7 linked regions of the Rattus norvegicus genome follow. The protein of the gene in region 7 interacts with the protein of the main gene of each other region in a biochemical or structural test. Links are inferred from orthologs where the notes say so. Each region holds a gene or a part of one and is shown on either strand. Other genes may lie near its edges. The genes, in order: Fnbp4, Yes1, Fyn, Hck, Itk, Lyn and Khdrbs1.

Region 1 (4,044 bases), on a different chromosome or scaffold from region 7:
GGTGCCAGAGGTCAGAACAGGGCAATAGATCCCCTGGAACACAAATTACAGTTGTTGAGTGTTACAGTTGTGAGTCTCCATGGGAGTACTGGGAATTGAAGGTCCTCAGGAAGGTCAGCCATTGCTCTCAACCACTGAGCTCTCTCTCTAACCCCAGATTTTGTTGTTTTTGTTTTGAGACAGGGTCTCACTAGGTAGTCCTAACTCTAGAAGAACTCACAGATCCACTTGCCTGGCCTATTATTCTCTCTTTAATAACCCATCCCCATACATCTTCTCCAGATTTTTGCTTGTATTATTATTTTTATTATTATTATTACTATTACTATTATTATTTATTGACAAGATCTTACTTTGTAAGCTCTGGTATTATGTATACTTGTAGTAATTCTCCTGCCTCCATCTCCACTGAAATTATAGCCATGAACCATGACAACTAGTTCTCCTAGTATTTTAGAACACTTCAGTAGCTCTCCAGGAGTGCACCACCTTTTAGACATTTATCTTTCACCTTCTGACCCGCTGTCATTAGTCTAGAAGCAATTAGAGATGGAAGCAGTGGGTCCTGGACAAAATCAGCATTACCTTGCTTGGCAACTATCTCAGGGGAGAACATTAATGTTTCAGCATGTCACCTGCCTCTAGGAATGGGGAGGTTTCTTCAACAAGCAAATAAGACTCAAAATTTAAAGAGCTCAACAACGCCTGCCTCAAGGTCTTTCCTTTAGCTAGAAGTGGAGGAAAGGGCAGAAAGTAGTGTTTGCGGAAGTAAAATAGGATGAGGTAAAGCTTCTGTATTCCATAAGAACAATTTGGCCTTTTACAAGGTCCAGTCATTTTCCCTACTAATCAGGTCATATTTTCGTTTTAAGAGTCTACTGATGTATAAACACCCAGCATCGTCGTTTAATACTATACCCAAAAGAAGCTACAATAACCAAGAGAACTTGCAGAAGGGTCAAATGTATCTTTATCTTTCTCAATAGCAAATGCAATAAGCCGCTGAAAACAGCCGAAAGATGGCGGACAAAGCCCTAAAGAAAAGACTTAGCTAACAGCGCACGGCCGATATCCAATCTAAGGAAGTCGCACAAACTGAGGGCCCTTCCGCGTCATTGGCTGGACGTCCTGTCTCTTCCTTTTGCTATTGGCTATTGATGCCTTCTCAAGTCAAAACAGCCAATCGCCTTATCCCTGAATAAAGCCCACCCACTGTGGATGGAGCAGAAACGTCGTAAAGGCACCCGGGCTCAGGCCGCATGCGCAAGTGCACCGCGCCGGTTAAAAGCGGGTCTCCTCGGGAGGCGGTGCCGCGGTTCATGAATATTGATTACGCACCGGGGCGCCGTGCGCCCGCCCCTCTAATCTGCCGTCGTTCGCTGCTCGCGCTTGGGCTCGTGATGGGGAAAAAGTCCCGGGCGGTACCCGGCCGCAGGCCTATCCTCCAGCTCTCTCCACCGGGTCCTCGGAGCAGCACCCCGGGCCGGGATCCCGACCCCGATCCGGATCCCGAGACCGATTCGACGGCTGCGGCGACTAGCCAGTCAGTGCCGGCAGCTGCGACGGCAGCGGCCGCGACGTCGCCCGCGGTGCCTGCCACCGCTGCCCCAGAGGACTCGCCTTCAGAAGGTAAGGGCGCGCGAGAGGGGCCCTGCCTTTATTTGGGACGTCCGAAACTCGAGCACGGGGCTTGCGGCCTAGGCTCCCAGGTGTCTCTTCCAACCCGGTGAAGAAAAGTAACCCAGGCGGGTGAGGTGCACCTCGGCTGCTTGCGATTTGGGGCCCGCGGGACGGCGGCCGCGGACTCTGGGAGCCGGAAGGCCGGGCCCGGGCTCATCTGAGGCGCCATTGCGGTGCAGGGGTTTCTCCCGGGAACCTGTGCAATCCACCGAGGCTTGGGACCCCAGATGTCCCCTAGATGACCCCTTCGATCTTAATAACGCAGAAGATGGAGGGCAATTTCCACGTGCGAGCCTTAAGGCGGTTGAACCTAACCTTCTCTACGTGTCACACTTGGTTTCGTTTTTGTTGAAATGGAGACACCACTCTTTAGAAGTGAACAAACCCTTGTTTTTTCTTATGCCAGACAAAGCATCGGTAACCCCAGACTTATGGGCAAGTGACAAAACCTGTGGACTTTTCTGGAACTGTGTTTGGGTGTAGAGTAGCAATTACAGGGATTAAGTGCCGGAAAAGATATACTATACCAAGTATTAAGAAATCAAGTTAATAGGAAGTGCATTATGTGTGGAAACATGCAGATGTATTTGTGCATGTTAATTGTTAAGTGCCATTGCAGGTGCCATTTTCATAGTGTTCACATTCTTACTGTCGATATCACTAAATGAATGGAAGATTCTAGGTCAACTTGGTTTTCATCCCCTTAGTTTGTATCAGTGATACACACTGGTTTTTTAAGTTGGTGGGATCCAGGCCAGAAAAGGGTCAAGTTTTGGGTTTTGTCTTGTTTTTTCCCTGGCCCACTGACCGACTGCAGTTTTCTTTTGTTCATTTCAAATACAGATGAACAGGAAGTGGTGGTGGAAGTCCCAAACGTTGTCCAGAATCCTCCCAAACCAGTCATGCCCACCAGACCCACAACCGTTAAGGCAACAGGTAGAGATTTTTGTTGTTTTAACTTTTCTTTAAAAATATCTTTTATTAAGTTAAAAGTGTGTACTTGGATTGTTGGGTGGTTAAATGTTGCTGATTTGTTATTTCTCATAAAAAGTAACTCAAGTTTTTCTAGGATTGGGGTTGCATGTCAGTGGTAACATGCAAGGCTCTAGGTTCCAGTCTCAGCTTAAAAAAATGGATTAACAAAAATTTTTCTTAAAGACTTGCTGAGTACAAACTTTAAGTAACATGAAAGTTTATTTACTTTTGGTTTATTTACATCTATACACACAAGCTTGCATGCTTCTAAGGCTGCACACTTAATACCTATTTTTTGAGAGTCTCAAGTGAACATGAACCTAAACTGTTCAGCTAGATGGGCTGTAAAGAGAGTTCTTCTCCCCCAGTCTGTCTGTCCTGACCGCTTCACCCCCAGCTCTGTGGTTACACATGAGTGTGCCTCATACTCCGCCAAAACAGGGGTTTAAGGGATCCGAATGCAAGTCCTTAGGCATTTTACAAATTGAGTCGTCTCTCTGATGGCTTTTTGGTCCTTTTGTGTTCTTTGGGAGCATCAACTATGCCTTACTTTTCGTTTGACCCTTACCGTATTTACTCATTTGATTCCCCCCCCCCCTCCAGTGACTCATGGTCCATGCTGGCCTAGAACCTTCTATATAGCTGAGGTTGGCCTTTAGCTATTGATAACTGCTGCCTTTACTGCCCAAGTATTGTGATTACAGGTGTGCTTCACTACACCCAGCTCATTTAACACACTGCCTGGTTGGTACCAGTCAAATATTTATGAAGCTGACAGTCCTCTTATATATCCCCGACCCTGTACAGTTTGCCAGTCCACTCTGCTGAAATATTTGCAGCAGTGATTATCTTGGCAAGCCTGAGTTCAAGTCATCACTCAGGACAGTTATTGAACTGAAACGTACTCATGTATATGGATCTACTATAGTCCTGAGTTGCTTGGGGCTTAAATTTTACATATATATTTTAAATTATATGTAGAGGGGGAGAGAGAATTTTCACATTGGAAAAGCAATTTTATTTTGAAGGTTAAAGTTTTTTTAAAACTTATTTTCTTTTGACATTTGCCTTCATGCCAGAGGAGGGCATCGGATCCCATTACAGATGGTTGTGAGCCACCATGTGGTTTCTGGGAGATGAACTCAGGACCTCTGGAAGAGCAGTCAGTGCTCTTAACCACTGAGCCATCTCTCCAGCCCCAATGATTTTTATTTATAGATGTGTGTCTGTCTGAGTGTGTGCTGAGTGTGGGAGCCTAAGGAGACCAAAAGATGTTAAGATACCTTGAAGCTGGAGATGAAGATGGCTGAGCTCCTCAATGTGGGTTCTGAGAACCAAACTCTGGTCCTTTGGAAGAATAGCTATCTTTCAAGCACAGATTACAGTATT
Region 2 (4,053 bases), on a different chromosome or scaffold from region 7:
CTGAAGGTTTAGAAAGGCAACAGCTCAAGTAATTAATGTTCTAGTTTAAAGAAAAATGGAGTATGTTTATATATAAAACGTAATGTCTCAGTCAATGGCAAAATAAATCACCATTCTACATCACACGTAGGTGCTCATGTGGATTCCCATCCCTTTCTTTGAAGAAACTTTTTAAAACTGTGTGCATTTAAGTTCCTAGAATACCAGAATACTGACAGAGTCGATGGTGCTATTTAGAATATGCCAAAGATGATGCTGAACTTCGCTGAAAACCACAAAGGAAACCAAGAGTCCCACATTAATACTTCGAATAACCCCATCAAAGAGGAAATACAAAAGGGAAATTAAGAGTGTGATAAGGCAGATGTGCCTTTAGCAGAAATACATCTAGATTTAGTCTCTTGACCTTGACTTTCATCTTTACCCCAGTTCCTCCTGAACCCTTACTTTTTCTACAAGGCAAGTAGAAAAAGATGCAAGGCCTCCTGAGGAAGAGAAAACCCTTTCATTGTGACTTCTTCACTTTGGGGGGCCCTAACCTCAGTTTCCATTGCCCTCAAGCAGAGTCACAGTGCCTGTTCGGGTTCCCTATTACTAGGATCAAATAAAATGCTGTCCCACGCTAAGTGAAAGCCACCATTCCTGGGAGAGTTGCCAACACAACTCAGCTTCGGTTCCACTCCCGGCAAGGCTGGTTCGACCTACAGTCAACAGGAAGCTTCTGGGGCAGGGACAGGATCCCAGCTAAGGAAAGGCCAAACGAGAACGTTTTTGGACCGCGACCAAGGTGTCAGCACCGCCCCGGTGGCTCTCGCGGTTGGACTGAGATTTTACTATTAGTGACAAAGGGTGCGGAGACACAACGTTGAGAAACGAACAGTCAACCTCTCTCCAAAGAGCCCCAACCCCGACCACCCTCCCAAAACAAAGCCCCACACTCTTCGGTGTTTCCGTGAGCCAGGCGGAGCCCTGCTTCGCTCGTAGAGGTAGTCCGCGCGCGGGCAGGCAGGGAACCACAGACTGCTTTCTCCTCACGCCCCCTCAGGAGCCCGCCCAGCCCCCGCCGCCATGTTGGGCCGGCAGGCGTGACACTGACAGGCCTCCCAGCCGCCCGCGGACCCCGCGCAGAGCTCCCGCGCCGGAAGGCGCTCCAAGCAAGCAGCAGGGCGCGAGTTCCGGTGAGCGGGCGCGCGCAGGTAGCCGCAACCCCTGCCCGGCGCGCGGCCGCCCCAGTCGGGAGCGGAGGGGCGGGGCCGGCGGCGAGAGGAGGAGAGAGGGAGGCCGTGGGGTGCGGGCGCCCGGGAATTCCCTCCTCCTCAAGTAACGCGTCCCGGGCCGGCTGTGCGGCCGTCGCTGCCTCCCGGCGCCCCGCAAGCAGGAGGTGGAGAAGGGAGAGGGCCCCGCGGGCGTCCGCCTCGGCCGGCCGCCTTCTCCCCGAGGCGACCCGTGCGAGTGCGGCCGGACCCAGGTAAGCTCGCGGCGTGGCCTCGCAACGTAGGCGACTGACCCTGGCCGGGCTGCTCTAGGCCTCGGCATCCGCCCTCCTGCTCCCCGGCTTTTCGAGGCGCCGCCGCTCCCGGCTCTGTCCGCCTGCCGGGCGGGGAGTCTGGAAGTTGAGGAGAAACTTCTCCCCTCCCCCGGTCCGGCCGGCGGGCGGGCGTGTCTCCTGGGCTCACTACCTGCTTGCCCAGTGCCTCGGTCCCCGCCCTTGTCCAGTACTTCCCGATCCTGCGGGAGTCCGTGCAGTGATCCAGCCTCTGTGGTGCCGCCGCTGCACCCTGAGTCCTGAAGGGCGTGGAGTCACTCGCGACCCTGAGGTAGGGGAGCGGCCCCTTATCGTCCTAGCGGCTGGAGGTCTGTGTCGCCGGACGCCCGCAGCAACTGTCCGGAGCGAGGAGTGGAACGCGGGAGGCGAGAGAGTGAGCGGCGAGTTGTGCTTGGTTTGATTGAAAACCACGACGTGTTTATAAAGTTTTCCTTTGTTTGGTTTTGAGGGTGTTGGGACATGTTACAATCAGTGGCCACTTTTAAGGTGTCAAGCCACTCCGCCTTCCCTTGGGTTCGGCTCTCTGTCCTCCTCTGTTAACGAAAATTTTGTTTGAGCGTTTTTTGCTTCCTGATAATTGCTTCCAGCTTTTGCTCTATTGGGCTTGGGAAAGAGTTGTTTTAAGAAAGTGGGAATATCGTTTCTAGCATAGGGATTGCTGTAGTGAATGGGGGTACAGCGTAGTTTTGATGTGGTTATTCTTTGCATAAGTGATTGAAACAGCAGTGGAATGACTAATGACAGTTATCGAAATAAATAAAGGAAAAGTCTGCAGTTGAAACATAACGTAGTACCTCTCTCGTGTGTTCCACAGCTGTGTTTTTTACATTAGTGATTTCACAGGATATTGTGGTTTAGTATATTCGTGCATTATGTAAAATTACTATACTAAAAGTATCTTGACAATTGAAAGTGTTTAAACATCCTGTGTTTAAATTTAATCTAAATTTAAATTACATACTAATGAAAATGTCACTAAGTGTGCATATGTGACTCCATTTAAGGCTGAATGCATGCTACCTCTATTAACCAGCACAATGGTTGTGGACTGGAAACATTTTGAGTGGGAGGATAGGGGATGTTAAATTAAAAGCCAAAGTTCTTAAATGCATCACGTATGAGAGAGAACACAACTGTAGGAAAGTTGTTCCTCAGGAATTTTTTTCTCTTCTTCTTGCTATGTCAGCATTTAGCTATATCTTATTTTTGAATACCAGCAAAACCTCAGTGAAAATGTAAATGCTGGTTGACATTTCAGTGGGTCCTAAATTTGGTGAGGGAGAGAGAGTTTGCTTTTGATTGAAACTTAAATACAAGACTATTTATATTCCATGTTTCTAGGATAAAAGATAGAACTCTTAAAATGTGTACTTTACCATAAAACTATGGTAATGTTATCATACCTTTAATTTTGTAGCTAGGTTTTGCTGACTTCACAAACCACAAAATTGACTCCTTTCTGTTCAACTGAAAGTGAAATTACAGCCTTGACCTGTCTTCTTGGGATAGGTGTGAAATTTGTCTTATGACCAAAGAATAATATTAATATATAGTCAGACATTGTTTTTAGTTCAGGAAATTCTCAAAAAAGCACTGTCTCTGCAAATAAAATTTTATTTCATTGCATATGTAAATAAAAGAATATGCTAAAAGAGCAGGGACCCAGTACAAGGGAAATACTACTAATCCCTGTTTATTTGAAGTTCAAATTTGCATAATTCTAACAGTAAATAGCATTTACTGTGGGTAATTTTTTAAAAAATGTATTTAGCTTCCAATTCAGTGAGGCACTTCAATGTGGGCATCATTTATTAGTCTTAGTACTATTGTTTAGGAAAGAAACTGTACTAATTTTTTTTTTTTGAAGCACAGTGCTAGGCTCTGATGTCTAGGAATGCAAATTTAAATGATCAAATTATTATTGTAAAAAAAAACCTACAAGGAAGTGATTTGCATAAAAACAAAGATAGGGAGGGAAGGAAGCAGCTGTGATAAGGCCAGACTTCTACAGCAGTAGGAAAGTTCTCTGTCCTTGGGTCTTGGAGGAGCTGGTCTTAATTTATCAAGTCATACATTTGTATGTTTGTCTCTTAACCTGGGTTTTATATTTTACATAAAAATACTTTTAAGAAGCCTAAATATAATGTAATGTAAAATGTGCTTAGGTTAAATTAGTAATTTAATTTTTAGGATAATCTGGTTTCCTGTCACAACCTTTAGTCATTGATGTCTGGCTTAAGGGCTCTTCTTTGCTAACAGGTTTAGATTTCCTGCATCATAAGTGTCATATACTAGTTCGTGTGTGTAATTTACTCGAAAATACCATACACTTCCAAATGTACAGTAATGAGAGAATTTTTTAAGAAATGTTTCTTATTGAGTTCTTGATTTTTATTGTTATTTTAATGTTTTGAGAGAAAATGTTGTGTGTTATTAATTTTAAATATAAGTACTAAATAGTAAGTAACATGTTTATTGAATAAATAGGTGTTGTTCTTTTATCAGGT
Region 3 (4,210 bases), on a different chromosome or scaffold from region 7:
TTCAGGGGAGAAAAGTACTGAGCAGGAAAGATAACATAGACCTTGAGCGTCAAAGGAAGCCAAGGCTGCTTCGCTTAAACTTACTTCTTACAAGATTAGATTTGCTGGGGGGGAGAGGGGTGAGTTTCTTACCAAAATCATTAAAGAAAATGATTCTGAACGTGTCTTAAAACAGAGCTTTCAGGAAACAGGAATTACCTATAAAGAAAATCAGGAAGGCGAAGTGTTTCTTTTTATGAAGTTACATCCTGCCATAGAAAAGCTGAATCGGAAATAAAGACCGACTGCATACCAACCCAGTTATTATTTCATCAAGGAAAATCTGAGTAAAAAGCTCAGCCCAGCCACCAATGAAAACAAGAAAACCAAGAGAAGTTTGAATGCATCGAGAAGCCAGACAGGCAATGGCTACTCTAAAGAGCTAGGAAAGCGCCCAAGCATCTCTACTGTGTGGTTTGGAGGTTCTTTGTTGCAGGCCCCTTGAATTTTAGTCATACTTCCTCTCACGTTTCCTGATGTGTGTGTGTGAACATGAACATATTTGGGTGCTCAAGAAAATGAGACTAGCAAATTATGAATTTCTTCTTCTTATTATTCGTTGCGCATTTGTTGGTTCGAGCTTTCCCAGTTTCTGCACTGGTACTTCTCTACTTTGCTCCTCACTTCTCCAATTTGCCATCGCCCTTCTTAACACCTTTCCACTTTATCCTCCCACTCCTATTTCTTTGGAGAAATAGGTTCCCATGGCTGTGAGGCTCGAGTGGCAGGTGCCAGTCTCCACTAGCAAAGTAGGAAAGCAGCTCGTTCCCTGCGCTCTCTCCTGTCCACCCCACCAACTCGCAACTCCACAGGATCCTCAGACACACACCTCCTCCTTCTCCTCCTCAACCTCGCATCCTCTCGCACACCCTGTGGCCCTGCGCACGCCAGGCTGCCCGCCACCACAGTAACGCTCAACCCACTCGGCGGCCCCACCCATGGCCGTCCCGCCTCCGACGCGCGCACCAATGGCTGACTGCGCTCAGCCCTCAGCGGACCCTTTGATAGGGCAGAAGGAACTGACAGTCTCGGGGCGTGTCCCGCCCCCTCTCGAACCCCTCGGGATCCGGAGCAGCCCGAGCATCAGCGAGAGTAGCTGCGAGAAGCCGCGGCGGCGGCGCGTCGGTGCAGTTGCGCCATCTGTCAGGAGCGCAGCCGGCGGGGAGGGGGCTCCGCGGAGAGGAGGAGGGGTCGCTGTGCGCCGAGCCTCCGAGACCCGCCCGCTGATCAAGAGCGCAGCGAGGCCGCCTCTAGCCGGAGCGCTCCGAGGACTCCCCGGGCGCACACAAAGCCGCCGCCCGCGCCAGGGAGGGACTGGGCTGCCGGGCCGGGGACACCGGCGCCGCCCCCTCGGCGCTTCGCGAGGCCCACGAGCTCCTGGGCCCGGCCGCGGAGCCACCGGAGCCGCCAGGGCCTCGCCGGAGGAGGGCGGGGAGAGGACCATGTGAATGTGCTCCGGAACCGAGCGCCACGCCACGCAGGTAAGCGACCGGGGATGCGCGGAGCCTCGGGATGCTGCGGAGACGCCCGGCCCAGCGCCCCCGCACGGGCTGCCCCCGCTGCGGTCCCGCCGCGCAGCCTCCAGGGCGCCCCGCGACGCAGGACACTGATGCGGGGTGCCGCCCGGAGGCTGCGCGGGCACCGGGGTGCCATTCCTCGGCCGCCGGCAGGCGCCGGGTGAAAAAAATAAGAATTGGCTTGGGGGCGAGGTTGGCCCAGCTCCGCCTCCGCCCTCCTTTCGCAGCCCCCCGCGGGGACCCGGGCTGTGTGTGTTGTTTTAATGTCAGGGATGATGTAATCACTTAATAATTGATGCCCGGTGCTGCTTTCCTCCCCACCCAACCCCTGCCCCACTCCTCCACCTCCCGGCCTCCTCCCTCGGCGGCCCTTGCCTTCCCCAGCGCATCCTTCTGCCTATTTCTGGAACCTCCCTTGCACTTCCCCCACCCTCCCCTTCACCCTTCCTGTGCTGCCACCCACCCACCCTTCCCCTTTCCCCTGTGTCTGGCCTTGCCTTTTCTTCCTCTGTCCCCCACCCCTTCGGCTTTCAAGCTTATTCCTCCTCCCTTCTGGACTCGCTGGATTTCCTCCCTACTTCCCTAGGTCGGTAGATGGTTTTGTTTGGTCTCCTCTAGGCTCTCTTATCTCTGAGGCCACAGGGACTGGGCTAGAAAGAGGCCACCAAGCTTGGGCCCAGGAGGCATTGGCTGGGACTCACTGGGAGGAGGGATAATAAAATCACCCATTTTGCCCCTCCTTCCTCTAATAAATCAGACTCTCTCTCTCTCTCTCTCTCTCTCTCTCTCTCTCTCTCTCTCTCTGTGTGTGTGTGTGTGTGTGTGTGTGTGTGTGTGTGTGACACAAAGAGCCCTTTCAGTTCATAGAAAAGAGACACATAAAGTCCCCAAGGCACCACCATGCTTCTTGTCTCATCCCTGGGGCTTCCCTTTCTTTCTGATGAAGCAGTTGATCTCTAGTCCTTTCTGCCACACTCACCAAAAAACGAAGGCTCCCGATCCCGGGTGGCAGGTGCACTTATTTTGCTGTATTCCCAGGGTGGTGGCATTGAGTGGCAACTGCAGTTTCCCCTATTTAAGGGAGGAATTATTTCAGCTGTTTTAGGAGTTGCTATACTTTCAAGGAACCCTCCTTCCATCCCTCGTTTTCCTCCCCTTTCTTCTTGGGGGATAGGTACTGATACCTGAGACAGGATAAATCAATGGGTGGGGGGATCAGAAGAATTTTGTGTCTGAGTCAGAATCAGTTCACCAAGAGTGAGGCAGCCTGACTGGATTCTCTAAAGTCCAAGGCCGCTTTGCTGAATGAAGTCTTTTGAAATGTGCTGTGGTGTCCAGCTATGCTCTTTTATTTAAGTGACCGGGGCTGTGGCATGAACGCACTTGGGCTGGCGTTCGGAAGACCCTGGAGGCACCACTTGTCTGGTTCAAGGGTGACTTTGGATGCCCACATCCTCTCAGCACCAAAGCAGCTTACAGTAGTTTTCACCCTTTGTGCTCAGTCTCCCTGCCCCTGCCCCTGCCCCACGAGTACCATGCCCTCAGACTTGGGAGGAAGTGGTTTCAACTCTCAAGCTTTGGGGCTAGCTGACTATGAGCCGGGGGTGTAGATGACTGGATTCAGAACCCATGATGTTCCTCTTAAGGTAGAGATATTCATGTAAATCTCAGACATAGTGTGTCAGAAACTTTGGTGTAGTCTGCTGATTCCTGGATCATGTTGTGGGGCCTCAAGTGTTCAAAGTAACGGAACTGTCCCAAGTTTACTTTTTAGCTGTTTTATCTGAAAAGAGTTGTGATGAATTAAGCTGACATCCATTGTGGAACATACATACATACATGTACACACATATACATACATACACATACATACATGCACACACATATACATACACAGATACACATATATACACATACATACATGTACACACATATACACACATATACACATATACACACATATATATACACACACAGATACACATATACACACATACATACATGTACACACATATACACACATACACACACACACACACACACACACACACACACACACACCATACATACAGCAGAAGGGTTAATAATGAATGCTCTCTGGAAACAAAGGCTGGTTTGTTGGGATGCCAAACCCAGAAAGGAAAGTCAATACACAATAAACTCACACTGTACTGACCAAGTCAGAGGCACTTATTAATAAGGTTAAATGAGTGTGAGCAAATGCCCTCTATTTTCTGACGGTCTGGAGTCCCCACCTCTTCTGATGTTCTGAAGCCCAGGCCCAGCACAAATGTTGTCTCTATTCTGAAACCTTCACCGGCTTCTCTGCTCCAGCCAAGCCACCATGTCTCCAAATTTGTCTCCCAACACCATCGTCAGAGTCTGTTTTTGTTTATTGTCCATTTCTGCCACTGGGTCGAGAACCTAATCTGGCTTGTCTCATTTTCATTGGGTTTTACTCTGGTTGGTATTACTTGGTGGCTTCATTTAATGAGCGACAAATATGAATCAGATCAACGATACATACGTACGTACGTACCCAGCGTCTTTTAAGAAGACTCATGTTAGTAGCTATAGTAGGCCTGAGAATGTATCATGGTACAAAAACACAAGAGATTCGTCTGTGCCCCTGTGATAGCACCACATACGTGTGT
Region 4 (3,500 bases), on a different chromosome or scaffold from region 7:
AAGTTAGTTTTAAAAGCCCATGTCCCAACTACATTTACCGAGAGCCTGCTATATGCCGGGTGCTGAGCAAATGAAGCCATAGGAAGTGCAAGGAGGAAAGCCAGCTCTGAGGAGCAAAGTTGGGGTAAATTTTAAAAAGAAAAAAGAAAGAAAAGAAAAGAAAAGGGGTTGGGGATTTGGCTCAGTGGTAGAGCGCTTGCCTAGGAAGCGCAAGGCCCTGGGTTTGGTCCCCAGCTCCGAAAAAAAAAAAAGAAAAAAAAAAAAAAAAAAAAAAACAACCAGAGTGAGCCAGTGAGATGGCTCACTGGGAAAAAGGCTTGCTGCAAAAACTGATGATCTGAGTTCAAACCCCAGAACCCACACTGAAAAGAGGGAACTGCTGGCAAAGATTATCCTCTGACCTACACACACACACACACACACACACACACACACACGGGGGGGGGAATTAATTTTCTTATTTTTCTGTTTTTTTCACTATTTAATTTTTTACAGTCCAGTTGTTACCCCCCTTCCAGTCTGCCTTCCCACAGTTCCTCATCCCATTCCTCCTCCCTTCTGTTCCCCAAGAGGATGCCCCCCACCCTACCCCCTTAATTTTATTTTATTTTTTAATGAAAGCAAGAGTGAGCCAGACCTACCATCCCAGTTACTATATTGAGACAAGACTCAAGTTCAAGGCCAACCTGAACAACTTAGTAAGACCCTGTTTCAAAATAAAAGGTGAAGGGGGGGCTGGGGATATAGCTCAGTGGTAGAGCACTTTCCTCGTATGAGATCCTGGTTCAGTGTCTAGTTTGAGCATGTGTGTCAGAGGTGGCCTTGGTGGATGACAAGGACAGAAAAGTAGGCATGATCAGCAGGCAGAGCTATGGGACATAACGGATCCGGTATTTATTTCAAGGCAGTTAAGCTTACACAGTCTGTGCAGGCTAGTGTCACAGTCCAACTGGTGGCTTAAGGGTTACTGCCATGATCACTGTCACAATGCCTGGGATCAAGCCCAGTATCCTGTATGTGCTGAGCTCCAGTCTCAACCCTTGTCTTTAGAGTCATGGCTGGCCCAGAGCCTCCAGTCCTCCTGCTTCATTGGCTTTCCCAAGCCAATGAATGACAGGCATGAGCCCCAAGCCCAGACAGGAGGGTTTTGCACTCTTGCAAACAGCGTTTCAGACTGAGTGCTTATCACTTCCACTTAGCAGGGGGAGGAAAACAGCCTGGAGAACTTAGGTAATGTGTTTCCGTTGCACTCAGCTAGGCAGGGAACCCATCTCCAGCCCACAGATGGGGTGGACATAAGCGGTGCCCTCCCTCTGTCTTAAAGGCCTAAGGTGGGCAGGGCTGCTGGGTCCTAACCACCGTCCGTGTTCCATGCTCTCCCCAGCCACCTACAACAAGCACACCAAAGTGGCGGTGAAGACAATGAAGCCAGGGAGCATGTCTGTGGAGGCCTTCCTGGCAGAGGCCAACCTGATGAAGACGTTACAGCATGATAAACTGGTGAAGCTGCACGCCGTGGTCTCTCAGGAGCCCATCTTTATTGTCACCGAGTTCATGGCCAAAGGTGCGTGGGCTAGGACAGACCGTGGTCCGAGCTGACTTCCTTCAGTCTCAATGATGACCTTGACGGGGCTCTTCTGGCACATCCAGCACGTCCCTATAGAGCACCAACACTCCAGCCTCCTGGCTCGCAGAGTGAAATCAGGTGAAGGGTGCTCTGTGGAGAGGAAGGGCAAGGGCTGCAGAGCCTCTGGATGACAGATGCAGCACATGGCTTCCTTGTGACTTGTACCTTGGAACTTTGACGCTGGGCTGTAAAGAAGTCCTGCTTCGAGTACTGAGGGACAAGAAGCCACATGGAGAAAGACCATAAAGGTGACACGTCATCTTGAACATTCCACCTGTGTCACCTCACCTCACAGTGAGGTCCTGCTATGATCAACCCACTGAACCATGACAATGCTCATGTTGTCACTTCAGGCTACTTAGCTTTGGGTCGCCCTACCCTGTGATTATTCAGCATATCTCAGGAATGTTTGAGAAAGGATTTCACCCTGTAGCCCAGGTTGTCCTGGCACTCATTATGTAGCCCAGGCTAGCCTTAATCTCACAGCTGTCCTGCCTCAGTCTCTCAGGTGCTAAGATTACAGATGTGTGTCTCCATACCTGGCTTCCCAGAGTTTGTTTATTTGTTTGTTTGTTTGTTTGTTTGTTTTAAGACAGCTAGTTTATAGTCATTTTCATTCCTTGGTCATTTCTGGATAAACATTTCACACAGCATCATCTAATGTGACTTGAAAACTCAAAACTTTTCTACTTTTCAAGTCTACAAATCTACAACCAGCCAGCTTTCTAAAGCCAAGCCCTGGGCACCCAGTTTCACAAGGCTGCATTTCAGAAAAATTCAAGCTCTAGCACTCGTATCCTAGGAGCAGTAGGGAGATATTTCTTTAACTAGCACTACTCCTGGGCAGTGATGAATGCTGGTAGTCGAGACTATTCTACTAACTGAAGTGGAAAAGTAGCTGGAGCCCAGGAACTGGAGACCAGCCGGAAGAACACAGCAAGGCACTATCCCGGGAAGAAAGTCATACCCGCTTGCCTTCAATCCCTGCACTTGGGAGGCAGAGGCAGGCAGATCTCTGTGAGTTCAAGGCCGGCCAGGCTAGTCTACAAATCGAGTTCCAGGACAGCCAGGACAACACAGAGAAACCCTGTCTCAAAAAACGATGAGTACGACAAAGAAGGGGGAGGAGGCAGAAGAAGCTGCTTGGCTGGAGCTGTAGCTCAGTGGTAGAGCACCTGCCCAGCATGTGTTAGGCGGTTCTGGGTTCAATCCCCGTAGTGCAAAGAGGATAAACCCCTATTGCAAGAAGAAAAAGTTACTTATTTCTCACTAAGGAGTAGTAGTCCATGTTCCTTCTTGCTCCCCTCTGCAGGAAGCCTGCTGGACTTTCTCAAGAGTGAAGAAGGCAGCAAGCAGCCACTGCCAAAACTCATTGACTTCTCAGCCCAGGTGAGCTGTGCCAGCAACAGACAGGAAAGGTGACGTCATCGTAGTGCGTGCTCTGTATCTTTTGTGTGAATTCTCATCCTCACCACGGACACAAGGACTAGTGACAGTACTCCAAGGACTCAAAAACTTATGCACGCTAAAGTCCCTTATAGAAAATAGTTATCGGGTTGGGGATTTAGCTCAGTGGTAGAGCGCTTGCCTAGAAAGCACAAGGCCCCGGGTTCGGTCCTCAGCTCGGAAAAAAAGAAAGAAAAAAAAAAGGAAAGAAAAAAAGAAAATAGTTATTTGCAAATCATCTAGGCCCATTCCCCTGTACACTACTTAAAGCAGCTCTGGGCGACTTATGGAACCCAACATAAATGCTATGTAAAGGGTTATTATTTTGTTGTATAAGGGATAATAATCGTTTAAAGGCTGTAGACACTGAATGTAGATGCAGTTGTTTTTAGAATACTCCTGATGTGCCGTTGGTTGAATCTGCAGA
Region 5 (3,500 bases), on a different chromosome or scaffold from region 7:
GTAGTTATTATTTAACATCGGACATGTTTTTGAAATTGCCATGATGAGGAGGAGAGAGCAAGGAGAGAAAAAGACAATGGCGTTATGTGTGATAAAGAAGGCAAATAAGGTTAATCGTTATAGGGTTCCAACATTTTTTTAGCTGCATCTGATTGAAAAGAGTTTATTATGTTTTTTTTTTCTCTTGAGACTGACTCATCATCCATCCCAGATTGGTCTCAGACTTGTAATCCCACTCTCTCAGTCTCTAGAGTACATGGAGATTTGCAAATACCAGGTCTGTAATTTTATGCCATTATTGCAGAGGAAATTTTCTTTGCATTTTTCACATGTTCGTGGATGAATTTAGAGGCCCTCTGTGCTCACAGCACTGTGCTAGGCTTTGACAAGAATAGAGCTTGAAGATCTGTTCTTGGGTCATGGGGGACCTGTGCAGGGAACTGTTTCTGGCAGGACTTTTTTTAAAAAAAAGAATTGTTTTTATTTATGAGTATGGTGTAAGTCTGTTTGAGTGTAACGCACATGAATGCAGGTACTGTCAGAGACCAGAAGAGAGTATTGGATCTCCTGGGGTGGAGTTATAAGTGGCTGTGAGTCTGGAGTGAGTTATAAGTGAATCTGGGTGCTGGGAGATGAACTTGGCTCTTCTGGAAGAGCAGTAACTTCTGTTAACTTTTCAGCCATTTCTCTAGTCCTGGAGCGGGCTCTTGGTAAGTATTTAGTATACAAATAAAAGGAGTTAAGCCTCATTTTCCTACTGACAAAATAAGTGGGGCTGACCAGAGAGTCTCTGTGATGCCATCCAGGACAATTTAGGATTCAGCGATTAGAGTAGCCTTACTTTCATGAGGAGGATAATGATATATTCTGCTTTCCTGGTGCATGGTACAGCCACATGTCTGTCAAGCTGAGGTATAGACTCAAGAGCAGACAGCATGTGAGCATCCTCTGTATGCAACACATGCTGAGGGCTGCATATGAAGACTCTATGGCAGTGTTTCTCCAAGCATTTCCCTGCCCACCTAGGTCAAAGCTACTGGGCTGCTTGTTTATAATGTGGACTCCAAGGCCATGCTCTCGGGGAGTGTTTTGGTAAGCAGCAGGGAGTGTCCTGGGATCAGCATTGTTTGATAAGTGTTTGGAAAGACTGGCTGCACACTGAAGTCTGAGAACCACCAATGGTTACAACAATGGATGATTAGATTAGTCTCCTCTTCAAACAGCACATTTTGGTGTTGGACCAAGGGATATGAACTGAGATGCCTTTAGATTCTAGTAGAGAGTCAAGAAGCTATTTTGGAGGACAGACTTCATAGTAGGCCCCAGGGCCCTATAGGTACAGTCCTCCCCTCCCGCCTTTTTGTTCTGGTACTGGGGATTAAACTTGGGACCTGACTCGGGTTAGACCAATGTTCTGCCACTGAGTTAAAGTCCTAGATCTTCAAAACTTAACTTTATTCTACATAAACATTTCTGATGCTGACAGCTCCCAGCCCTTGTAGAAGACCCAGACCCAACAAGTTAGAGTATAACTAAAGTGCCAAAGGGTAGAATAGAACACAGTGCTAAGGGATATTTTCTGACATTTTCAACACCATTTAGTAGGGTGCTCTGTATAAAGTAGTGCCCAATGAATGCCTCAATTGAAGCCAAAGGGCACTGCTTTGGTCTTACTAAATGTGTTTGGTCTTACACAAATGCATATGATCGATCACTCTTACCATCTCTCCAAATCATCTGACATTTAAAGAACAGTTAGGCTAATAGCAAATACTCTCAGAATTTGTCCTAGACATTTAGGTATGTATGTTTTAGCTCAAATGTCCAACATCTTCTGCCTACCATATCTTAGCCCTGCTGTGACAGGGGCTTTCTGCCTCCAGGAGCAAACTGGATACCGGAGTCGAGTGACCAAACCTAGGTTGACAGAAAAACCAAAGGCTATGGTTAGGGTTTTGCCATGGCAATTGTCTAGCTTAAATCACCAGGAAAAGAACGGTACGTGAAATAGTACTTCCAAATTCCAAAAGTCCCACCACCGTTTTCACAGAGCCCTTGAGAGGATCCTTAAGCATAGGAGGGCAGGGACAAGGTGACCTCAGAGCAGATATTTCCTGTGGGAGGCATGGGGATCCTGGGCATTTGGAAGTTTTTTGTTTTGCTTGTTTCTGTTTCTGTTTCTGATTTGCATCTTGAGTTACTATTTATGGACAGTTGGGGCTGCATAAAGAACCCAGTGGGGACTCGGTCATTTCTTCCCAAGTCTCCTTGTGGGGATCGGTCCCCTAGAACTTACCTCCTCCATTGTATTGGTGATACTGGATGAGGAGAGGGATGGAGTCAAACACATACTTCTCAGCCACATAGTACCGCTTGGGGCTGTCATTTGTTTCTTTGATGTGATAATGTTTTATACAGGGGTTGTTCTCACTTGAAACAAATGAACACACACAGTTATTACCAGAACGGCGTGAGGATTTTTGACTGTGCATGTTTATGGCTGCACTATTTACAATAGCCAAAATATGGAGTCATCATAGATGTTCCTTAGCATAGAAACAGATTAAAAAAACAGTGCTTCATATATACACTGTAATTTTATTTAACTGTAAAGAAGAAATTAGGATACTCATAAGGAAATGGATGGGACAGAAGATTAGTGTGGTAAACAAAAAAATCCAGACTCAGAAAGACAAGTATTGAATGCTTTCTCTCATGGGTGGAATCTGGAGATAAGCACATACATACACAGACACACACAGACACACATACACACTTGCATACATGCACCCACACTCAGGAGTCTCTGCCACACAGGACTCTCAATATGGCAGACAGGTTTTATTTTTAGCATGTCAAGACCTGGCATTGGTCTATTTCCAGTTGTAGTTGAAACTACTTTCTTCTACTCTATATATTTATTACCTGATGTGCTCACCACATACAGAAGCAAGTATGTGATGTCTTCAGAGCTCTGCCTCCAGGCCTTGCCAAAGTCAAGGAAAGGATCTGGTATCCAGCCAGTTCTGTTTCTTATTACATCTCTCTAGTCCTGCCCTTGAACTTGGGGCTTTAACTTTACAGGAGCATTGGAAGAAGCCACACCACTGCTAGTGAGGCTCTGCATGATGTATGGGCAGATCTCGCTACATCTACACTGTCACACAAAAGCAGCTGTCATGATTCCTCTGTGCCAAGCGAGTGGCATACCTTATGATGGCCTTGGTGAAGACAGAGACTGTGTATGTCCCGGGTGTCCTGGAATCTCGGACCATGAATGCTCCTTCTTTACCCTGGATTGGGTGGAAAGAGTGAAAGGTTAGTGATCTAACACCCAGTCTCTGGAACCTAGCTCCACTCTCCTGCTTCAAGAAGGAGAAGGCACTAACTGGCACGGAACAGGCTTTCAGTAGTGGCAGCCACCAGCTGTTCATGTGAGGTCCTGTACGGATAGACAGACACAGATCCTCTCCCTTACAGTTCACCAGGCACTGGATTCT
Region 6 (3,500 bases), about 130 Mb from region 7:
CGAAACCAAACATACAGTATCAAAACGTCACACCAAGCCTTCTCTACAACACAGTTCAGGCTTTTCTTTAGTAAGTCCATTCTAAGTTTGAGTGGCCATATTTATTATTTCATTTAAATGTACCTACTTAATTTTTAGTGCCGGAATGAGTGCTAAGTACACATTTGACTACTGAACTAGATCCACAACCAGAATTATATTTAATTTCCTTCGAGGAAAGCAAGACTTGGCGCAGTCTGTAGCTCCAGCATTGTGGAACTGCTAGGGGTTCATAGCCACTGCTTGAAAACATTATCTTTACTATGTCTTTGCAGGCATTTTCTTTTGCAGTGCCTTACTAAGACTAGTAGTCCCTATAAGAACAGAACAGACAGTTGTGTACACCTGTTGTGTGCTGGGCTCACAATCACTGACTCCTGGATTGTTTCTAGACAGCCTGGAGCAGTGGTGCATGATGGGAGGACAGAGATACAGAGTCTCGGAGCATCTCCATGTTACCACTTTCTATTTGGTATCATCCTAACATGTTCTTTATGGTCTTTGTCCTTTCTGGTATTTTTCAAAGACTCAGTGCTTGTTGGTGTCAACAAACCAGTGTAATCAATTCTCTCTCATGTACTCAAAAGCTGGATTCCCTGGCTTGGATCCTGGCTCAGACCCTTACAGAGGATCTCTAGAGTTGCAGAACCTCCGAGGCCCATCATCAGTGGTCTGCAGCATAGACTAAGTGTTACGAACATCTCTGCAGTCCAGGGAAGCACATGTGCTTTATTATTTGAGAGGGGAAAAAATCTGCCTTACAGGGTAAATAAAGAATCTTAATTTTGACAAATTTAGTGTTGACTAAGTGAAATACAAGGCTGGATGTGTGGTGCACATACTTGTAGTCCCAGCACGTGGGAGGCTGAGGCAGCAAGATTTAGAGTTTGAGGCCAGCCTGGGTTACACAGCAAGACTGTGCTACAACTCAGTGGTTGAGCTCTTGCCTTGCAAAGATGAGACCCTCGTCCATTAATCCCCACTGCCAAAAAGTAAAACACCCCCTTATCTCAAAAACCAGCAAAGAAGAAGACAGATACTACTGTTCATGAATCTTGTTACAGTATTGAGTGGCCTTATCCAAGACAGATCTTACACAGAAAGCTACCATTGAGGCACATCTTCAATATTGTACCAAATAAGCCCTTTTTTTCCCCTTCAAAATGATGACTTTTTTGTAGATGCTTTATTAAAAAGCAAACAAAAATGAAATTAGGCAGAGAAATAATGAAATATTTCTTGTTATGTCGCTTTTTGAGTTGTTTGTATATTAACTACCTGTCAGATACATAGCTAGGAGATTTCCTCATTACACAGCAATGCCTTGTCTTGAAGGTAGAAACAAGGTCGGTGGGAACCGAGAGAACACAGGACAGAATTGGGGGGTGGAAAAGTGGGAGGGCATCATCATGGGGGGCAATAGCACACTCCTGCAGCAAGATGGCCTCTGTAACCCAGCACACGTACCTTCCCTCGCTGTGTATTCATTATCTTCGATTACTCTCGCGAGGCCAAAGTCTGCAATCTTGCACATGAGAGACTCAGAGACCAGCACGTTGGCAGCTCGCAGATCGCGGTGGATGTAGTTCTTCCGCTCGATGTACGCCATGCCTTCTGCAATCTGCAAACAGAAGGGGGTCATGTTCATATTCTAGAGAGGCTGTCATGGTTGGCCATCAAGAAAAAAACTAGTTTTTCAAAATTTTAAGATAGTGCTAAAGTCACCCTTAGAATTCTTTTTAAAGTCTGTCCCTAACATCTCCAACAATGGTAACTTTTTTAAAAAAAGTTTTTATTTTATTTTTATTTATCTCTTTGTGTGTGTGTGTTCGTGTCGGTCCGTGTGTGTGTGTGTGTGTGTGTGTGTGTGTGTGTGTGTGTGTGTGTGTGTGTCTTTTGTGTCTCAGTGAAAACATTGCATGCAGGTACTCTTGGAGGCCAGAAGGGGGCATTGGATCCCCTGGAGCTGGAGTTGCAGGCAGTTGAGATAATTCAACATGAGAGAGGGGAACTGAATCTGGGCCCTCCCTAAAAGCAGTTCACGGCCTTAACTGCTCAGCTATCACCTCAGCCCCATGGTAACATTTTGTTTTTTAAATAACAATAGATTCAGCATTTTTAACAGTGTGAAAGCTTTTTTTAAGACCTGTAAAACCTGCCCATGCTGATATACAGAGGTCATGTTAGATTCTTAGGTGAGGTCCCCTAAATTTATATATTGATATCCTGACCCTCAATATGATCCTTATGTGTTGGTAGTTGTAAAGTAACTAGGTTGGGGGGCAGTGCAGACTTGGTGCCCTTATATAAGAGGCCACAGAGAGCTTCCTAATCATTTCCACCTTGGGTGGCCATGGCTATTAAGAGGCTGTAAGGAGAATGGGCCTGTACCAGATACTGAATGTGCTGGTGCTTCTTTCTGGATGTCCCTAGAACTCTAAGAAATAAATGCCTGTTGTTGGAAACATCCAGTCCATGGTATTTTGTGGTAGAAACCAGAACTAAGACAACAGAAGAGAAGAAAGTGATTTGCTAATACAAGACACCAGCAACAGGACGTGAGACACACGCTTGTTAGTAAGACCCTTTCTGTCAGGATCTTGCTAAGGAAGAGGTGGGGCCAGCTCTCCAGAGCCTCTGAGCATAGTCCCTCAGGACGAACAGAATATACTCTGGCAACAAAGCAAAAATATGAGGCAGAATGAAGGATTCATATAGACAACAGCCCAGAGAGGAGAAGGTACTACTTAGTGCTGGTAGGAAATGTGGCAGAGCTCAAAAAATCAGTTAAAGGATTGTGCCACCAAATTACACAGTCAAGGATAAGGAAGGAAGAAAGTGTGTGTGTGTGTGTGTGTGTGTGTGTGTGTGTGTGTGTGTGTGTGTACACGTGCGCATACGCTCATGCTTGTGTGTATTTATGTGTGCATGTATGTGTGCTTGCGTGTGTTTATGGAGTGCATGTTTGTGGTGTGTGTGTATTTCTGTGTACTTGTCTGTGTATTTGTGTGTATGTGTTTAAGAGAAGCTTCCTCTGGGGTTGGGGATTTAGCTCAGTGGTAGAGCGCTTGCCTAGGAAGCGCAAGGCCCTGGGTTCGGTCCCCAGCTCCGGGGGAAAAAAAAAAAAAAAAAAAAAAAAGAAAAAAAGAAGAGAAGCTTCCTCAATTAGGATGACTTCTCAATAGAGTGAATTGTCCCCCAGAGGCTGTAAATTGCATCTGGGAAGGCTCCTCCATCACCAGCAGCAGCAGCCTCCTTACCTCACACTGTGAAGACTGCACAAGCCCCTTCAACCTCTACTGCTCAGCAAAGGAGCAGCTGGTTAGCACTTCCTTTCCTTCCAGGCCTCATCCTGGGTCCTCTTCCGGAGTCCTCCTAGTCCCATCCTGAACCTCTCTTCACCTGTCTTGCAGCGTTGGTCTGCACAAACACTACTCACAGCTAAGGGTTACAGCTTTACC
Region 7 (4,291 bases):
ACCCTGTTGAAAAAAGAATGATCACCTGCACTTGAAGTCAGAAAGGCCAAACTATGCCCTGTGTATATAGGAATTTATAAGCAGAAGAAAACGATGGTGACATTTTGTTTGGTGAGTACAGGTCAGAGGTAACTGGCTGATTTTACACACAACCTAGATCTCACACTCACCACTGCACAGATGACACTGCAGAGTTAGTTTCTCAGGACCAAGTAACTAGTTAACAGTCAGTTTCCAAAGTTAACATCTTCGACCTGATATAACTCTTTAGCAATTAACCTGACAGGTTATAAAGATTTGAGGAAATAAAAATAAGACTACCAAGTCAACCTTTCATAGTGATATTCTTCAGTCGGCAGGCACTTATCAAAGTCAATCAAACACAGGTGTTTGCTATTTGCAAGCCGGTATAAAAAAATATAAAAGATAATGGCCTGAAAATGTAGATAAGTTAGTAGAGTACTAAGCCTGATCCTAGGCACTGCACAAACTGAATGTGGTGGGGCACACCTCCCAAACCCTGGAGGAAAAGGACCACAAGTTCCAGGTCACAAAGGGCTATATATAAATGTAGATATATGTAAATACCCAGCCTCAGCTACTTGAGACCTGCCTCATTTAAAAAAAAAAGGGGGGGGGGTTAAAAATCCTTACAGTAACTAAGTTGTCAGAACAAAAGAACAAAAACATAAGAACCTGCGTGTTACAGAATGAAGGTCCTGAGCTGAAATGCAAACAATTGATGTTTCTATTTACTGACCACAAGTTTGGTTTACTGTGCTTCAAAGGTCCTCACTTATTTTTCCATTTGACTGGAAAGAAAAGCAGGTCTTTAAAGTCATTGTCCATCCACGACCTTTTTGCATTGTACAAACGGTAAAGCCCCTTCAACAACGCTGGGAGACAGAGAACAGATGAAGGAAAATGGTATTTTCCTTTTATTTCTTTTCGGATTTGTATTTTGAGTGCCTCTGTAGGACAAAAGAGAACATCAGTCCCCCAGTGCTGAAGTTACAGGTGTCTGAGAGCCACCTGATGTGGGCGCTGGGAACTGAACCCCTGTGGAAGAGCAGAAAGTGCTATTAACCGCTGATCCACCTCTCCATTAGATAATGGTATTTTCACAATGACCTGTCCACAGTACCATTCTGGCCAGAGTCTGTCAATCTCTCAGACGGTCTTTGATGAAATAACTTTATTCCTCGTGGATAGGGTCGAATATATATTTTGGAGTGGGTTGGGGTCTAAAAGCAGACGCTTTCTATTGGCTTGGACTGAGAGGTTAGACTCTCCATGGGGTGTCTTGGTCAAGTGTTACCAAGGTCCAGGACAGTTACCAGGTCAAGAGTGGGTTTCTGAATCCGCTCAACCTCTCCAGTTTTTGTCTGGTAACAAGGTTCCATCTGCCCCACAAAACTCCAACTATTCAATCAGTGAGACAGACTGTGATATCTAAAATTTAGATATCATAAAAAAATACTTACTAAAAACCATGTCTAACTACAAGTGAGGGTCCAATAGGCGGTTTGAATAAGAAAAATGTCTAAGTCGCTCAAGTCAAGAGAAGAGGGCTCACTAGTCTACAAGCAGAGAACAAAGGCTACCATTCTTAAACTATCTCTACTCAAGCAAGAACTAAAACAAAAAGACTAATTTCTCGTTCATCTCCCGCAAAAGAACCTGCCGTCCCTTACCTCCATCATTTCCCCATTTGCATAACTTCAAAAACACATTTTAAAATAAAGGAGAGAAAACCATCCGGGTCTGTAGCAATTCTTATTCGACAGGCCGAAACGGAAAACTTTGCTTGAGAAAACCTCAAGCTCCGGGATTCTCTGGTCGCCCCGACCTCTGATGAACTTAAACCCGAGTTCCCGCTAAATCCCGCAGCACCGCTCCGTAGAGGCGCCGCGCGGGACCGGCATTCCGGCAGTTTTTACCTTTACAACCCAGGTCAAGGCACTCTCCACCACCCGCGACCCCGCCTCCCCAAATTGTTTTCTCTTTGGGAAAGCTGGGAGAAGTAGGTTCATTTCTGGTAAGAGCTGGTCCTTGGCGCGCGGGGCAACTACTACCGGAGGAGAAGGGGGCGGGAGCACGGTACTATCCATCAACCTCTCCGCGCTCGGAGATCGCGAGTCCTCTTCGGGCCTCGACCGCGGTTCCGAAACCTCCCCTTATACCCTGATCCGGGGTGGGACTGAGGGTGCAGAATCTCTAAGGCTAGGTCGAGATGAGCACTCTCGATGCCTGGGCTCCGAGGGGGCGGGAGCAAGAACAAAGCGGCGGCCACCCACCGCCGGTACCGGGAGACCCCAAAGTACGCCAAGACCCGCTTACCTACGGACAGCAGCTGCATGGCGTGAGTGAAGGACGGGTCGAGCGAGTCCTTCTCAGCCATGAGTTCAGGCAGGTACTTATTCTCCGGCTCCATCTTGGCCGCGGCTGTGGCTGACGGGGGCAGTAGCGGGGTCGGCGCGGAACCCACCACAGTCGCGTCGGGACCCGGATTAGAGGGAGGCAGCAGCGGCGGCGGCTGCGTAGCGGGCGAGGCCCGAGCGCCTCCTCTGGGCCCACCTCCGCCTCCCCGGGACCGGTGAGGAAGCGGCGACGGCCGAGACGGGGTCAGACGCACCGAGGGGTGGGCACCTGACGGGTCCTTGGAGCAGCTGCGGCCCGAGGACCGGGTGAGGCGCGCGGCAGGGTCGTCCCGGCGCTGCATCAGGAATGATGTGTGGCGAGCGAGCGAGGAAGCGACGCGACGGCGCTGAGGCCCGAGCGGCGGTTGGCGGGGGTGGAAGAACGGGAGCGACAGCGACCGAAGCCGACCCGAGCGACCCAGCGAGAGAGCACCGGAAATGAGGCGGCGCGCGTGCGCAGGCGCCTACCGGCACCGCCCTTGAGTTTCTCCGCGGAGAACAAAGTCCCCAGTTGGGCCACGACGCCTGCGCCGACTGAAGACGTAGCCTCCCCACTCAGGCTCCGAGTTTATTGCGCCTGCGCAGACGCCGGCCGCCTTCGTTCGTTTCTTTTCCTTTTCCACGTGACCCGGCGCTAGCGGTACACGTGTCTCCCCTCCCCCTCCCTCGGGCGGAGTGCGCGGAGGGGGCGGGCGCCGTGGAATGTCTTTGTCTGCGCTCGGGCCCGCGGAGTGTGCGGCAGGAGACCTGTTATTCGTGGGCCACGCCTCCTTCAACGGCCGAGCCTGGGGAGGTCCCGGGGGAACGGTGCTGCTGTGTGGTTCGGGGGCCGCCTCTCCAGCAAGGAAATGAAAGGAACGCTTCTGGAGAGAGGGGAACGCGAGGATTAGAGCAAAGCGAGGCCGAAAGAGAGGGAAAGACTGCGCGAACGGGATGGGAAGATGGGGATGCTGGGAGAGGCTGACCCCGGGTGGGTGTGAGAAAGGGAAGCCAGGAATGGGAAATAGAAGACTAAATGCTATGTATTGCAGAACTGAAACTCAGAAGGGGTCAGTCAGAGACGCAAACAACGGAAAAAAAGGGCTCCCTCCATTCCCAAGTAGAGCATCCAGGAAGTCAGACACCAAGATTTCTATTAGAGCAGGTTCAAATTTGGTGAGAGAATTATTAAAAGATACATTTGGGGCCAGAACAACTGGCAATACTGTTTGTCACCTGTTTGGTTGGAGTCCCCAGCTCCCCTACCCCCAGTAAATTCCAATTTTCTCTCTCTCTCCCTCCAACCCCGCCCACTTAGAAAGCCTCAGAACAGAAAAAGGCGCCAAAAAACCCAGTCCCGAATTCTTGACTGTCCTAATCCACCTCATCTGAAGTCACCAGCTACCCAAATCTCTCCCTCTCCCTTGATGACCCCAGCCCAGCCTGTGGTAGACACATCATTTTTATTGCCTACACTCTTATTGAAAACTTACCAGCCATAGTCTGCCCCTGATTTATTCCGGTACTCTGAGGCTGGTGGTCTCGCCTGGGAGCCCATTCCCAAATAAACATGCCTTTTTTATTTTTTTAATTCGTCTTGAATTGACTTAGTTCATTGGGGGAAAAACTATCATCAACCTGAGTTCTATCCCCTGGCCCAAAATAGGAGAGAACCAATTCTCCCAAGTTTTGACCTCTACATGCACATAGTGGCCTTCACGTCTACCCCTACTAAGGGAATGAGGTGGTTATCCTTCATAGTGTTCTGAGGAGGGAGAGCCACAGAATTACCTCAAGTTTGAGACAAGTCTGGCCTACATACACAGCTCCAGGCCACCTAGGATATCGAAGGGACACCCTGTCCCCCAAAAGCAAACTAAGAAGCTTCTCAG

What was found.
Region 1: the proteins of Khdrbs1 (region 7) and Fnbp4 form a complex in vitro, tested with the Homo sapiens proteins (2 studies listed by BioGRID and IntAct, with this or other methods). The link is inferred for Rattus norvegicus from reciprocal best matches to the Homo sapiens genes KHDRBS1 and FNBP4.
Region 2: of the proteins of Khdrbs1 (region 7) and Yes1, one has a biochemical effect on the other in vitro, tested with the Homo sapiens proteins (2 studies listed by BioGRID, with this or other methods). The link is inferred for Rattus norvegicus from reciprocal best matches to the Homo sapiens genes KHDRBS1 and YES1.
Region 3: the proteins of Khdrbs1 (region 7) and Fyn form a complex in vitro, tested with the Homo sapiens proteins (4 studies listed by BioGRID and IntAct, with this or other methods). The link is inferred for Rattus norvegicus from reciprocal best matches to the Homo sapiens genes KHDRBS1 and FYN.
Region 4: the proteins of Khdrbs1 (region 7) and Hck interact in a biophysical measurement, tested with the Homo sapiens proteins (2 studies listed by BioGRID and IntAct, with this or other methods). The link is inferred for Rattus norvegicus from reciprocal best matches to the Homo sapiens genes KHDRBS1 and HCK.
Region 5: the proteins of Khdrbs1 (region 7) and Itk form a complex in vitro, tested with the Homo sapiens proteins (4 studies listed by BioGRID, with this or other methods). The link is inferred for Rattus norvegicus from reciprocal best matches to the Homo sapiens genes KHDRBS1 and ITK.
Region 6: the proteins of Khdrbs1 (region 7) and Lyn form a complex in vitro, tested with the Homo sapiens proteins (3 studies listed by BioGRID and IntAct, with this or other methods). The link is inferred for Rattus norvegicus from reciprocal best matches to the Homo sapiens genes KHDRBS1 and LYN.

Annotation. Positions count from the first base shown.
Region 1 is NC_086021.1:97,187,608-97,191,651, forward strand, and holds the start of Fnbp4 (formin-binding protein 4), read left to right. Parts: upstream 1-1,244; 5' UTR 1,245-1,319; coding exon of another isoform or gene 1,320-1,400; coding exon 1,401-1,629; intron 1,630-2,523; coding exon 2,524-2,616; intron 2,617-4,044.
Region 2 is NC_086027.1:120,645,607-120,649,659, forward strand, and holds the start of Yes1 (tyrosine-protein kinase Yes), read left to right. Parts: upstream 1-1,253; 5' UTR 1,254-1,468; exon of another isoform or gene 1,469-1,919; intron 1,920-4,053. UniProt on the Homo sapiens protein: Non-receptor protein tyrosine kinase that is involved in the regulation of cell growth and survival, apoptosis, cell-cell adhesion, cytoskeleton remodeling, and differentiation.
Region 3 is NC_086038.1:44,321,254-44,325,463, forward strand, and holds the start of Fyn (tyrosine-protein kinase Fyn), read left to right. Parts: upstream 1-1,410; 5' UTR 1,411-1,487; coding exon of another isoform or gene 1,488-1,520; intron 1,521-1,699; exon of another isoform or gene 1,700-4,210. UniProt on the Homo sapiens protein: Non-receptor tyrosine-protein kinase that plays a role in many biological processes including regulation of cell growth and survival, cell adhesion, integrin-mediated signaling, cytoskeletal remodeling, cell motility, immune response and axon guidance.
Region 4 is NC_086021.1:162,059,333-162,062,832, forward strand, and holds part of Hck (tyrosine-protein kinase HCK), read left to right. Parts: intron 1-1,384; coding exon 1,385-1,564; intron 1,565-2,939; coding exon 2,940-3,016; intron 3,017-3,500. UniProt on the Homo sapiens protein: Non-receptor tyrosine-protein kinase found in hematopoietic cells that transmits signals from cell surface receptors and plays an important role in the regulation of innate immune responses, including neutrophil, monocyte, macrophage and mast cell functions, phagocytosis, cell survival and proliferation, cell adhesion and migration.
Region 5 is NC_086028.1:31,267,505-31,271,004, forward strand, and holds part of Itk (tyrosine-protein kinase ITK/TSK), read right to left. Parts: intron 3,294-3,500; coding exon 3,211-3,293; intron 2,431-3,210; coding exon 2,297-2,430; intron 1,918-2,296; coding exon 1,843-1,917; intron 1-1,842. UniProt on the Homo sapiens protein: Tyrosine kinase that plays an essential role in regulation of the adaptive immune response. Regulates the development, function and differentiation of conventional T-cells and nonconventional NKT-cells.
Region 6 is NC_086023.1:21,545,127-21,548,626, reverse strand, and holds part of Lyn (tyrosine-protein kinase Lyn), read right to left. Parts: exon of another isoform or gene 3,194-3,500; intron 1,661-3,193; coding exon 1,507-1,660; intron 1-1,506. UniProt on the Homo sapiens protein: Non-receptor tyrosine-protein kinase that transmits signals from cell surface receptors and plays an important role in the regulation of innate and adaptive immune responses, hematopoiesis, responses to growth factors and cytokines, integrin signaling, but also responses to DNA damage and genotoxic agents.
Region 7 is NC_086023.1:147,370,649-147,374,939, forward strand, and holds the start of Khdrbs1 (KH domain-containing, RNA-binding, signal transduction-associated protein 1), read right to left. Parts: upstream 2,801-4,291; 5' UTR 2,723-2,800; coding exon 2,341-2,722; intron 1-2,340. UniProt on the Homo sapiens protein: Recruited and tyrosine phosphorylated by several receptor systems, for example the T-cell, leptin and insulin receptors. Once phosphorylated, functions as an adapter protein in signal transduction cascades by binding to SH2 and SH3 domain-containing proteins.